Linked DNA regions of Solanum lycopersicum. Each later gene encodes a partner of the first gene's protein in a complex. Links are inferred from orthologs where the notes say so. Each region holds a gene or a part of one and is shown in the gene's direction. Other genes may lie near its edges.

Evidence for each region.
Region 2: nuclear-pore anchor (region 1) and nuclear pore complex protein NUP35 share a complex: the UniProt entries of both Arabidopsis thaliana proteins name them as parts of the nuclear pore complex. The link is inferred for Solanum lycopersicum from reciprocal best matches to the Arabidopsis thaliana genes NUA and AT3G16310.
Region 3: nuclear-pore anchor (region 1) and nuclear pore complex protein NUP98A share a complex: the UniProt entries of both Arabidopsis thaliana proteins name them as parts of the nuclear pore complex. The link is inferred for Solanum lycopersicum from reciprocal best matches to the Arabidopsis thaliana genes NUA and AT1G10390.

Annotation. Positions count from the first base shown.
Region 1 is NC_090805.1:38,986,040-38,989,621, forward strand, and holds part of nuclear-pore anchor, read left to right. Parts: coding exon 1-3,582. UniProt on the Arabidopsis thaliana protein: Component of the nuclear pore complex. Acts as a docking site for activities required for desumoylation and mRNA export. Required for the proper expression or localization of a subset of miRNAs.
Region 2 is NC_090802.1:65,951,667-65,956,430, reverse strand, and holds the start of nuclear pore complex protein NUP35, read left to right. Parts: upstream 1-1,523; 5' UTR 1,524-1,800; intron 1,801-1,902; exon of another isoform or gene 1,903-1,983; 5' UTR 1,984-1,997; coding exon 1,998-2,584; intron 2,585-3,473; coding exon 3,474-3,585; intron 3,586-4,711; coding exon 4,712-4,764.
Region 3 is NC_090803.1:1,582,880-1,587,586, forward strand, and holds the start of nuclear pore complex protein NUP98A, read left to right. Parts: upstream 1-1,540; 5' UTR 1,541-1,726; intron 1,727-2,676; 5' UTR 2,677-2,730; intron 2,731-2,840; 5' UTR 2,841-2,890; coding exon 2,891-2,909; intron 2,910-3,286; coding exon 3,287-3,556; intron 3,557-4,707.

The DNA of each region.
Region 1 (3,582 bases):
GAGAACAGAGAGTCAGAGTTGAAGGAGAAGTATGAGAAGGAGCTTCAGAAGCATGTTGACAAAGCTACCTCCCAGGTTAATGCAGTACTGGCAAAAGCAGATGAGCAGGCTACGATGATTAAATCACTTCATGCATCTGTGGCGATGTACAAAAAGCTCTTTGAAGAGCATACAGTTGTTTCTTCTGATGCTCAATCTGAAAAATTAGCAGAGGTTCAAAGGCCGGAAGTGATGCTTTTACCTGATTCTTCACATGAAGTTTTAGGGAGAGCACAAGAACGGGCTTTTGAGCGTGTAAAATGTCTTGAAGAAGAGTTGTCAAGATTACGGGGCGAGATTATTTCTCTTCGATCAGAGCGGGATAAGTCAGCTCTGGAAGCACAGTTTGCTCGAGATAAACTTGACAGGTATATGAAAGATTTTGAGCACCAGAAAGAGGAGCATAATGGTGTGATCACGAGAAATGTTGAGTTCTCACAGTTGGTAGTTGACTATCAGAAGAAGCTGCGAGAAAGTTACGAGTCATTGAATGCTGCTGAGGAACTTTCTCAAAAGCTGAAACTGGAGGTGTCTATTCTAAAGGATGAAAAGGGTATGCTGGTAAATGCCGAAAAGAGAGCTTCAGATGAAGTACGTAATTTGTCACAAAGGGTGCATAGTTTGCAGGTCCATTTAGATACATTGCAGAGTACTGAGAACGTTCGTGACGAGGCAAGAGCTGCTGAGAGGAGAAAGCAAGAAGAGTATATCAAGCTTATTGAGAAAGAATGGGCTGAAGCTAAGAAAGAATTGCAAGAACAGCGTGATAATGTTCGAAACCTTATACCTGAGCGAGAAGATGCTCTAAAGAATGCATTGAGACAAATTGAGGAAATGAGGAAGGAAATGACTAGCACTTCACATTCTGTAGCTGCTGCTGAAGCTAGAGTTGTTGTTGCTGAAGCGCGATCTGCTGATTTAGAGGAAAAATTGCAAGCTTTTCAAAAAAAGGTTTCTGAAAGAGCTGATGAAGGCGGTCCTTCCTCTTCTACTGAACTTTTTGACAACATGGATTCTGCTGAAGAAGTTAAAAGACTCAGAGAGGAGGTGCAGGTTAACAAAAATCATATGCTGCAATATAAAAGCATAGCTCAGGCAAATGAAGAAGCATTAAAGCAGATGGAATTGGCTTATGAGAACCTCAAAGTAGAAGCTGATAGAGTGAAAAAATCAATGGAAGAGGAAGCATTAGCGCTTAGGAAGAATGTTGATGAGCTTGAGAGAGAATGTAATTTGAAGTCAATTGAAGCAGCTTCCGCAACTGCAGGAAAAGAAGAAGCTGTTGTTGCTGCTCTAGCTGAAATATCCAGTCTGAAAGAAGATACCTCAGCTAAGACGTCACAAATCTCAAATTTGGAGGCTCAAATATCTGCTTTGAAAGATGATTTGGACAAAGAGCATCAAAGATGGCGTGCTGCTCAAGATAATTATGAGAGACAGGTAATTCTGCAGTCAGAAACAATTCAAGAACTGACTAGAACATCTCAAGCTTTGGCAACCTTACAAGAAGAGTCATCTGAGCTCCGTAAATTGTCAGATGTTCTAAAATCCGAAAATAATGCATTGAAGGCCAAGTGGGAGGCGGAATTGTCGGTGCTAGAAGTATCAAAAACTGAAGCTGAGAAGAAATACACTGAGGCTAATGAACAGAACAAAATATTACTGGACCGGCTTGAGGGTTTGTATATTAAACTGGCTGAGAAGGACCGTGTATCTTCAGGTGTATCTGCTGGAAGCACAGTGGCCGAGGGTGATGACGGGCTGATGAATGTTGTGAATTATCTAAGACGGTCCAAGGAAATTGCAGAAACAGAAATTTCTTTGCTCAGACAGGAAAAACTTAGGTTGCAATCACAGCTTGAGAATGCTCTGAGGAGAGTGGAGGTAGCAGAAGCATCTCTTAATTCTGAGCGGGAGAGTTCAAGAGCTCAGGTTTTAAGTGAAGAGGAGTTCAAAACACTGCAGCTTCAGGTTAGAGAATTGAACTTACTTCGTGAAAGCAACTTGCAGTTGAGAGAGGAGAACAAGCACAATGTTGAAGAATGCCAGAAACTTCGCCAAGCTGCCCAGAAGATGAAAACTGAATTAGAGGATCTGGAGAAGCTTCTTAATGAAAGACAAGCTGATGTAGAAGCTTGTAGGAAAGAGATTGAAATGCTGAAGCTGGATAAAGAGAAGCTTGAGAGGAGGGTTAGTGAGTTGGTTGAGAGGTATAAGAATTTTGACCTAGAAGAATATGCAAGTCTAAAAGAAGCTGCTTCACAGATGCAGGTGAATCTGAGAGAAAAAAATGAAGAACTGGAGAAAGTTAAGAAAGCCATGTCTGAGCAGCAGAATCTGTTAGCTGACTTAGAGCAAGACCTGTCAAGGAGCAGAACAGAATTGAGTCAGAGAGAATCGAGAATCAATGAGATTCTGCAAACTGAGGCCTCGCTGAGATCCGACGTTGATAAACATAAAAAGTTGACAGGTCTAATGAAGAAAAGGGTTGAAAGCAACTTGTTGAAGGAAAAGGAAAGAGCAGACAGCTTATCAAAGGAAAAAGATGATTTGGCTAGAGAGAATCAAGCTCTCTCCAAACAGTTGGAAGATGCTAAACAAGGGAAAAAAACTGCTGATGCTGCAGATGAACAGGCTTTGAAAGATAAAGAAAAGGAGAAAAACACCAGAATCCAGGGGCTTGAGAAGATCACAGACCGACTTAGAGAAGAGTTGAAACAAGAGAGATCAAAGCGCTTGAAGATGCAAAAGACAATAGGGGATTCCTATGGAGCTGTGAATCAGCAACGGTCCAAGCTATCAGATGAAATCGACAAGCATAAGCAGGCTCTGAAGATGCTTACTGATGAAGTTGAGAAGATAAGGCAAACCAAAGGCAGTCAAACGGAGGGCACGTCAGTGGATCAACTACTTTCGGGGACTCACTTGGACGATTTTACTGCTGCATATCTTCAGGCTGTAGATGACTTTGAACGGGTTGCACGTAATGAGCTCGGGGTTTCTGGTGCTGGTGATGCTTCTGCTCCAGATGCTTCTCTTTCTGCCTCTGTTGTTCCAGGCCCAGCAGCTACGCTTCCGCCACCAGCTAGCTTGGTGACTTCCATTCCTGCAGTTGGAAAAGCAGAAGAAGAAAGAAGACTTGTTTTATCGAAGATAACCTCCGAAACTCGTAAAACCGGAAGGAAGTTGGTTCGACCACGCATCACAAAGCCGGAGGAACCTTTAGTTGATGTAGAGATGCAAGATACAGATGAATCCACCAACAGTAGGAAGCATTTGCCACCTCAAAAGGCAGAAAATCTTGATAATGCCACATTACCAACTCAACCACCAATTCGCAAGCGCCTATCTGCAGCCTCTACCTCCTCTACCTCAGAGTTACAAGAAGAGACTCCTGCCATGGATGAAACCTGCTTAGATGTGGCTCAACCTGTGCTTAAGAAGTCCAAACATCTAGAGGCACCTCAAGAGGGCGGTGAAGATAAATCTGTTGATAATGTAGAAAATTCAGAATCTCTGCCTACTACGGAGGAACATGATGCT
Region 2 (4,764 bases), on another chromosome or scaffold:
TGTAATTTTATTTTATTTGTTTTGGAGTCTAACTAATTCAGATTCACATCATGTAATTGTTTTTTATTTATTTTGGAGTCAAACTAATTTAGATTCACATCATGTAATCACTTAAGACGCATAATGAAATGGAAAGATTTAATATTAGGTTTTTTTTCTTCATTTCAACAGCTCGAATCTGACATTTCTGCTAGAGTAACGTTATATTATTCATCGGTATTCTAGTGTAAAGGGTTCATAGTGTTTTCGTGTATTTATTTTTTTACTCATTTATTTATTTTTTGTAGCATGTTCCCACTATTTCCGCTAATTTTTTTTTAAGAATATAGCATTTTCCCCTCTAGTAGCTTAACCACAACAATTTTCCCACTAGTAGCTTAATCATAATAAAGATGAACAATAGGTTCAGGGTGATAAAGTTATGTGATTTATTTATTTTATGATGAATGAAATGATATTTTTGCATTTACTCTAAATTATTATATTGTTTCAGTGTGATGGAAATTACTTATTTTATGTTGCAACAAGATCCAATTGACTCATAATACAAACCTATTGTTAGTTTTGATAGTTTTTAAAATTTATGTGTATAAATCATATTTTCGATAAAAATAAAATACGTCTTTTAAATATTATAATCAAACACATCGTGAAATTTCACCCAAATTTTAACATTAAGACATTAGATGTTGTGAGAGAATTTTGGAGAAATGGATTATTTGATGTTTTTAGGGCTTTAAGGATGTTGTACAAAATTGCTTGATAGACGTAGGATCGACTCTTTTCCATTTTTATTGTCCCTATTTTTCCTTAGTTCTAGCTTTGACTAATGACATATGACACAAGTTAGATTTAATGGCTAAGATTTAATTTATTGAAATACAATCATGATTTAAATAATAAATATATTATTATATCAATTAAAATAGTCCTATTATTTCTCTCTTTTCTCCCTATTCCCTCCCAAAAAATTTTTTGTTGTCGTTTAATTAATTAATTCAAATTTCAATTACGCCAACATTCGCTAAACCCCTTGTGTAAATCCCAACCATGACGATCCCAATTGGCTGACCACATTAAGGAAAACTCGACATTTACAAATCGACTACAACATTAGATGATAGAAAACTTTACCAATACTTGAAAATTTATAAATATTAGTCCGAACTTTCCCTTCAGATTTGTCGCGATCTTTATTTGTAAAGAAATGGAGGCTAAACGTAGTAGAGAACAACTGAAGTGTCGTAATTTATGATGTTAATCATCCACCTTGAAGTAATTGTGTAGGTCATGAAATGAAATATTCTGAAAGTAATAAATAAAGCAAAGAAGATTTTGGAGGGAACAGGGAGAAAAGAGAGAAACAATCGAACTCGAAGAAAATAGTTAGAAATATATCTTCATTAATTAATATAATAATATATTTATCATCTAAATTATGAATTTGAATATATTTTAATTAATTAAAATCTAACTTATCGATATATCATTAATAAATACTAGCTCTTGAGAAAATTGGCGACAAATAAAAATGGAAAGGAGCCGCATTGTTACGTATATACAAGAAAACAAGAAAAGGCTTAATTACCTCTGTATTAATATTGGACCAAAAAGCCCGGGCACATTTTAGTTCAGTGTTCAACCCAAAGGACAGTAAGTGTCATTTGGTTGAAAGCCACCGCTGGCCTTTATTTGAATTCATTCACACAGTATTATAATTCTAGGGTTTTTCGCTCTCGCGCTCTGCAACCTAAACCCCCCATTTTCAAATCTCAGTTCTTCGTCTTCCAATACATCCAGGTATTCTCCTTTCTGTCTGCGTAATCAATCTATTGAAATGTTTTAACAATTTAATTCATTAGTTTCATGGCACAAATTGAATGTACTTCGTTTTTTTCTCAGATAGGTTATTTATATGTACTAGCATATCCGGTAGCTTCGTTAGTTAATGTTCAATCTCTGAGAATTTGATTATATCATTAGGGCTGAGAGAGAGAATGAGTACAGCAGTGCGAACCCCGAAAACTGGAAGACAATCACTGTTCTTCCAGGATTTAGCTACACCTATTTCTTCCCGGAAATCTGGGTCGAAATTCAATACACCAGGTCAGGCAGCAGCTGTTTCTGCTTTATGGCGTGAGAATTTTGCCAGTTCAGATCTGCCACCACCGCCTGTATTTACCCTTGAAGATCGATCGGATGTCTCTCCGGAATCGGGGATTCCTGAATATATTACTTCGCCAGAAATCAAGTCGGACCCTAGAACGCCGGTGCTTAATTCAGGACGGGAATTTTCAACACCTAAGAGTAAGTCTGAGGCAAGTACTTCATATGCACTGATGGGTAAGCAGCAGCAACAGAGTAAACAAAGCCCCTTGCCAAGTTTGACATGGTGGTCACCTGCAAAGGGTAGTGGTAGTGCTGAGCAGGATGACAAGGACAAAGGTTCGCCAGTAGAAGGCGTCGTACATCCTGGTGCTTTGATAACCTTACCTCCACCAAGGGAAGTTGCAAGGCCAGAGATCAGGAAGAACTCAATCCCTGTGGGAAACCTTAATGAGGAAGAATGGGTCACAGTTTATGGGTATGCCTATATCTTTCATACTTTATTCTATGCCCTTCCACTTATGTTCCTGATAGTAGTAGGTGTATTAGAACTCCTTGATGCTGCATGATATTCTTTTTTTTGCTGTTAGCTCATTAGGGTAACTTCTAGTTCAAGCTGTTGCATTGTAAAATGTGTTGCTAACCACCCATGGTTATCATATATTCCTTTTTCTTTTCCTTTACTTTCTGTTCCTTCAGTAGAGTTATTACTTTCAACTAGAATCAGATGTTATCTGTGTTATTTTTCATGGCAGGGTCTTGAGGATATCCTTTGAGGTTAGCCAAGTCATAATCTAAGGTTCCCTCTGGATGGAGAAATTTAGATTTTAGGGGGTCCAAATTCACAAGTATTATAAATTTGAAGGTTTGAATTTAGAATACGTCCTATCAAATGTTTTTTGACTCATTTGATATTAATCTAAGTGAAGGCTTACAAGGCATGTGATTTGTGTTTTTATTTCAAATCCATTTTTTGTGAAGTAAATCTGAGCAAGTGAAAATGATATGAAATTGGATGACCTGACAATACCGCTCCATCTAAAATAGGCCTTAAAAGACAAAGAAATGTCGACGTGAAAGAACATGGAGAACAAAGTGGAACGTTATTTTTATGCAATAACTTGCTTTTGTCATCCTTTCATGTGATAGCTGTGTTTGAAAAATAAGAGGAGTATTGATGCATTCTTGCTTTTGTTTTGAGTCTCTCTTGATGTGCTGAGGTTATTACTTTTATGATCTGTGTTCCTTTCAGTCTCTTTGAGTTGTTATATAGGGACCCTAATATCCGTACTTCTCACATTTTGCTGGCCATTTTCCCTTATTTTTGGTCTTTTATTTATCATTTACCTTTTGATTGTTACGTGCAGGTTTTCCCCAATTGACACCAATTCAGTTTTACGGGAATTTGAGAAATGTGGTGTCATTTTGAAACACATTCTGGGCCCCCGAGATGCTAATTGGATGCACATTCTCTATCAGGTATGTCATATACCTATAAACATGTCATCATGTTCAGCTTCTGTTGTACATGCTTGTATACATACTGTCTTAAGAGCCTATTTGGTGTTCTATTGTTCTCGGTTATGTTGTAGGAGTACCATGATTTCTAGTGTCAGTTAACACTTACTTGCCACCGCTAAACTGCACCAAAACAAGATCTCCCTTTCTTCTTCATTATTTTACTTTCCTTCACCCCCTTGTAGAATTTATTCTGAACTTTTACCCTTTTTTCCTGTTCTTTTATCTTCCTCTCCAACCAACTTATCCTTTCTCCCCCTTTTACTGATGCTCATTTCTTTGTTGCTTCAACTTTTTGGTTTTGTTTTATTCTATGTGTATATTGAATATTATAGTTTTTTTATTTTGATACGAGTACGATTTTCTTGCTAACTGCTGACATTCGTTTGTAAATGTTGCTGAAATACGAGTTATATATCGTCTTTATTGCTGTGAATGAAAATAGTGACAAATCCTTCATTACAATACCTCTACTATAATCTAGAAGTGTCGTGACTTTTCGTTCTTTCTTGATTCTGATACTCTACCAAGCAACCCTTGTGTAGCTTTTTACCTTCCCATAAGTAATTCTGCTTACACTAAATTGAATTGTATTTGGCTGGGGAACTTTACATTCCTCAAGCAATTCAAGTATTCATTTTCTATGTTAACTCAGCATCTAGTTCTGATAAATTTATCAGAACTAGATTAGGGCTTCTTTGCTTTTGACATTTGCTGTTACTTAACTGTATATTTTACAGTAATAGGGCTCTGAGCTTAATTTTAGCCTCTTTTTAGAAGTCCGCTAACCCTGTGTTGGTCTCCGCAGCTGCGACTGCTGGTCTGACCTGACCTTACCAAGCGTCTTTCTTTGGAATGATTTCTACCTTTGCTGTGAAGCCAATAAATAGTGTGGCCACTTGCAATGCCCGTGATATGTAATCTCTCTTTGCAGGGATATGTTTGTTTTTTTTTAAAAAAAATTGTCCATTGTATTTATTTTTCTCTGTGCAATCTTTTTGCTGTCAATGACCCTAGTCTTCTGGAAGGTAAAAACATTTCATTGACCATAAAGTCGTGTCTTATTTTCTCCTCTTTTATGGTGTAGAATCGTGCTGATGCTCAAAAAGCTCTTAACAAGAACGGTATGCAGATAAATGG
Region 3 (4,707 bases), on another chromosome or scaffold:
TAGCTTTATGATCTACAAGTTTTATTTAGGCTTTAACCTTGTTTCTGTGAATTGTCAAAACCTGCTTATTATAATGAAAAAAATGCTGCAATAATTCTTTTTAAAGATAAATATTCCGTACAGAAATCATGGTTTCGAGTTAAATATTTGTTAGTAGTAGTAGTTCGTTATAATTTCAGTAGATGTTTGGTTGATTTGATACGAAGTTTCAAAAAGTATATGAGGATTCCGAATTTGTGGTCTTATGATGTATTAACATGTTCTTTTAATTTTTTTCTCTCTTAAACAATTATTAGGTGGAAAGTTCCAATTAATGAATTGAAAAGAAATATGTATTAATTTAAAATAAACTGTAAAGGGAAGTGAAATAAATTAGGTAACATGTTAAAAGTATTCCAGACGTTTAGCGTTTAAAAAAAATCGTTTTGAGTTAAAAGATTTTAGATAATGATCGTGAAAAACTGGTGTTATAATAACATGCAGTATTTTCACTCACTAATTGAAGTGTAAAGTGCGATGCATACATATAAGATATTCGTTTTTAAGTATGCTTCACCATAATCGCAGCATAAATTTAGTGTGTTTTATGTATTTTTTCTTAAGATAATATCAAAACTTGAATTAATAGGATTTGAATTTGACAATATTTCGTTGTAAGTTTTCTTCTACGATAATTGATAAATGGACTTTTACTTTTCAAATCTATGTACAAGTTTGATCATAATGTACATTCATTGGAGAAACAAAAACAATGACAAAAAAAGAAGAAGATGATAATGGCTAAAGCAGTATTAATCAATTATGAGCTGGTTGGGTAACAATCATATACAGTATTATTTTTCTTATTGATCTTCAAGCGATGTTGGTTAAAAATCAAAATATTCTATCAATCAAAGGCGCTGAGGTAGATTTCTATGTTCACGTGGAGTATACATGTATTCATTAACTTCGCATGACATCATGTATATTATGTTAGTCCATCTCGAGAAATTAAAAAAATAAAACTAAATATAGTTATCAATATCCTCGTAAAAAGCATGAAATGGTGCTTTATACTGCTAGCACAAGTTAAAAGATCCGCCGATGCGATCAGAGTTTTGTCAAATTTCTTTTTTTTAGCTTAATATTAGTGTATTTAGACTTTCCAAATCTTGGATTCGCTTCTCGAACTATGTAGTGTAATTGTTATAATATGTTCGAATTAATGATATTATATACACATATGCACATATATATTATAAAATTGGCTATTCACATTTTTTTATACAAGGAAACCCGCAATAACTAACATGTTTGAATTGATTTATTTTAAACATTTTAAAATATAGAGTTCAAATAAAAAGAAATATACTTTTAAATAATCATTTTTAAGTTCTAAAAAATACAAATAAGTTAAAGAAATTAAATTTCCTCTAACTTGTGAGTATGACAGTAGTCGGATCCTTAATCGGATACAAATAGTTTCATGTTAAACGGGCGGGCGGGTCTAAGCCCATTAACCGAACCGTCAATAATTAGCGTTGTTTAAAAGCTACGTTGCCTATTTGTATGATGCAGCGACCTTCTGATAGGGCTTTTTCCGACCAAAACACACACTCTAACTCCGCCGAAGTTGTACAAACGCTAGCTTCCGGCGACCTTTTCAGGTGATATTTCTGCTGCTTTCAGATCGAAAACGAGCAGCTAGTCGTCCGTCGGCCGGCAACATCTTCCTTGTACATCTCAGGTAGCGCCTTTAACCCTAGCTGTTACGATTCCGATTTCTATTCGGTTTCTCCATTACTTTATCAATTAATGTGATATTTTTAGAGGAACTTTCAAAAATAACAAAGATTTGAAACATAATGAGGCAACAATAACTGTAGTTTGCTAAATACATAGTTTACATGTTAGAGGGAGGGGAGGAGAGGAGAGAAGAGACGCGGATTGTATTTGTATGTACGTTGGACAATTGTATATAAGTAACTAGTATGTGTATGTATCAATGACTGTTTTTGTGTACATGTGATTAGTATGTATATGTATCAATAAATACAATAGTATTAATGAATACAATTTGTATCCATGAATAAGTTGTGTACAATTATATTAATTATTTTCCCATATTTTTATGGCCGAGGCTTATATATGTGGAAATCTATTTCTGAATGTGGATTTCTGTACATCCATTATCAAGCTATTGGTGACTTCATTCAACCAGGGACTTCTAAAGAGTAAGGATGATTGGCTTTGCATAGCCGAGATTAGCAAGCATACAGCAACCTAAATAAGAATATAACTTTTGTTGCAAGTTGCAACCTTTTTGATTGATATTTTTGGGGCTTATAGATTTAAATCAAGCATTTAGTAGTTGGTCATCAACACCTCCCCTTGGCATATTACGTAGAGCCTTCACCCTAGCGCGTTAGGTTTTTTATTTCTGATTTTGTTTCTGTTTCCTATACCTTATTCACATTCCACCCTAATGTATACAATATGCTTGTATGGATAATTTGACATATTCAGTTTTTTTTTGCCTTAATTGAGGGGGGAAATCAAGTCCAAAGTTGTACTTCTGCACATAGATGCAGTGTTGTCATTTAAGCACTGTTTTTACATTGATTTACGTGACGTTTTCAAGTTTTACTTTCTTAATAATGGATCTTCTTATTCTTTCCTTGTTTATTAATTTTGCAGCATAATGCATATACCTAGTGCATAGGATTTTTTTCATTCATTGAGGCATTATATGTAAGTGGAAACAGTCTTCTTTACTTCCGTTTCATTGAATTTTCTTTAGACGTATATTTCTACTTCAACAACCAATTGAGAATGATCTGCGCGTTCTGTCCTTTTTGTAGCTTAACTTGGACACTCCAACAACTGCTGGGAAAGATTTGACTATCCAACCATGTTTGGGTCCACGAATGGTAAGTACTTGCAGCTGTCTCAACATCTTTTTTATACTTGAGAAATCTATTCCCCCCTCTCCCCCCTTTACTTCTAATGAAGATAGTTATGACTCGTAGCTTTACTTACATTTTCGTTGAAACTGATACTCCTAACCAGAAATAAAGGATTAAAAAGGACTTGCCCATTCTTATTTTCAATAGCTGCTCTTTTCCACAGTGCACCCGCTCATCTTTCCATTAATTTGCTTCATTTCATAGAAACTATGCCTTTTTTATTTCGATTTGTGTAGTATTTTCTGAAATTTTCTCGTCTATGGTACAATTGTTAGTCTTCATTTTCCTCTTATCGTATACAGTGAGGATGTTCACTGCTGACTGCTTTCTGTTTGTTTCAGCTTTCGGGCAGTCATCTTCTAGCCCATTTGGGTCACAATCAGGTTTCGGGCAGACAAGTAATAACCCATTTGCTCCAAAACCTTTTGGCAGTACAAATCCATTTGGTTCTCAATCAGGTGCTTCCTTTTTTGGTAGCACTTCCACTGGAGTGTTTGGAACCCCCCAATCTTCTTCACCTCTGGGGTCTACATCAGTTTTTGGTGCATCATCCTCACCTGCATTTGGAGCTTCTACTACCACTTTTGGCAGTTCATCACCAGCATTTGGGAGTAAGTATTTGTCTCTTCAAGCTTCATTACATAATTGTGTTATATATATATTTTTTCAGAATGCAATCAATGCTTCATCTCTACAAGCTTCCTTACATAATTGTATTTTAGATGTCTTTTTTCAGAATGCATTCAATGCTTTATTGTATTTTATAGTATTGCTTACACCAAATGTGTTGATACCATTCATCATGATTCTGGGTTTACATCTCAGTGGCCCATGAGGTGGATAGTTAATGATCATTTATTATGCATGTGTCAATGACATTAGGGCTGGCTCACCATTATCAGTTACCACCACTCACCCCCACAATTACCATCCTCAACAGTCGCAACCACCACCGCGACCACAGTGCCAATTATTACAATCAACTATCATCGCTGTTAGACAACTACCAATCATCACTAGCCGCCACCATTATATATAAGACAGCCTCCATAATGATTCGCAACCATCATTTCCTATCACTATCATTCACCACCACCAACTATCTTTATCAACCACCACTTCCAGCCACAACTAACTCCTACCTCTAACACCTCCAGTAGCCAACACCATCCTTCATTGACACCCACAACTACCACCGCTAGCCAGCACTACCAACCATCTTTGATTTTTAAAAATATTGTATTGATTTAGCGCTAGATTGATTTGGTATTTCATTAAATTTTATATTAACTTATTTTTAAATGATTTTGTAAAACAAACAAACTTAATTATTTAGCATTCAAGTCTTAATACAACGATAGAAAATATAACAAACCCAGTATAAGATGTATGTAGCCTTACCCCTATCTTTAAGGTGTAGAGAAGTTGTTTACTCGAACCTCATCAACCGTCCTCCTTTATCGGGGCTTAAGATCATCAATGTAAGCGAGCTCACACAAGCGGAGTTATATTCAGATGTTGACAACGAAGTCTTTTTGTTTAGTGTATTCAGATTCTAACATCTTTGTCTTGATCAAAAACCAAATGCTAAGTAGTAAGTACCAATGCCTGCATAAAGCTCAAGTGTATTATTTGTCTATTCAAATGAATTTGTGTTGTTATTCTCTTACATGATTATTAATGATATTTCCTATTTAAACCTTGTATCTGGAAATATTTTATATATTACGGAGAAATATGCTGTTTCGAGCTTCAAAACATG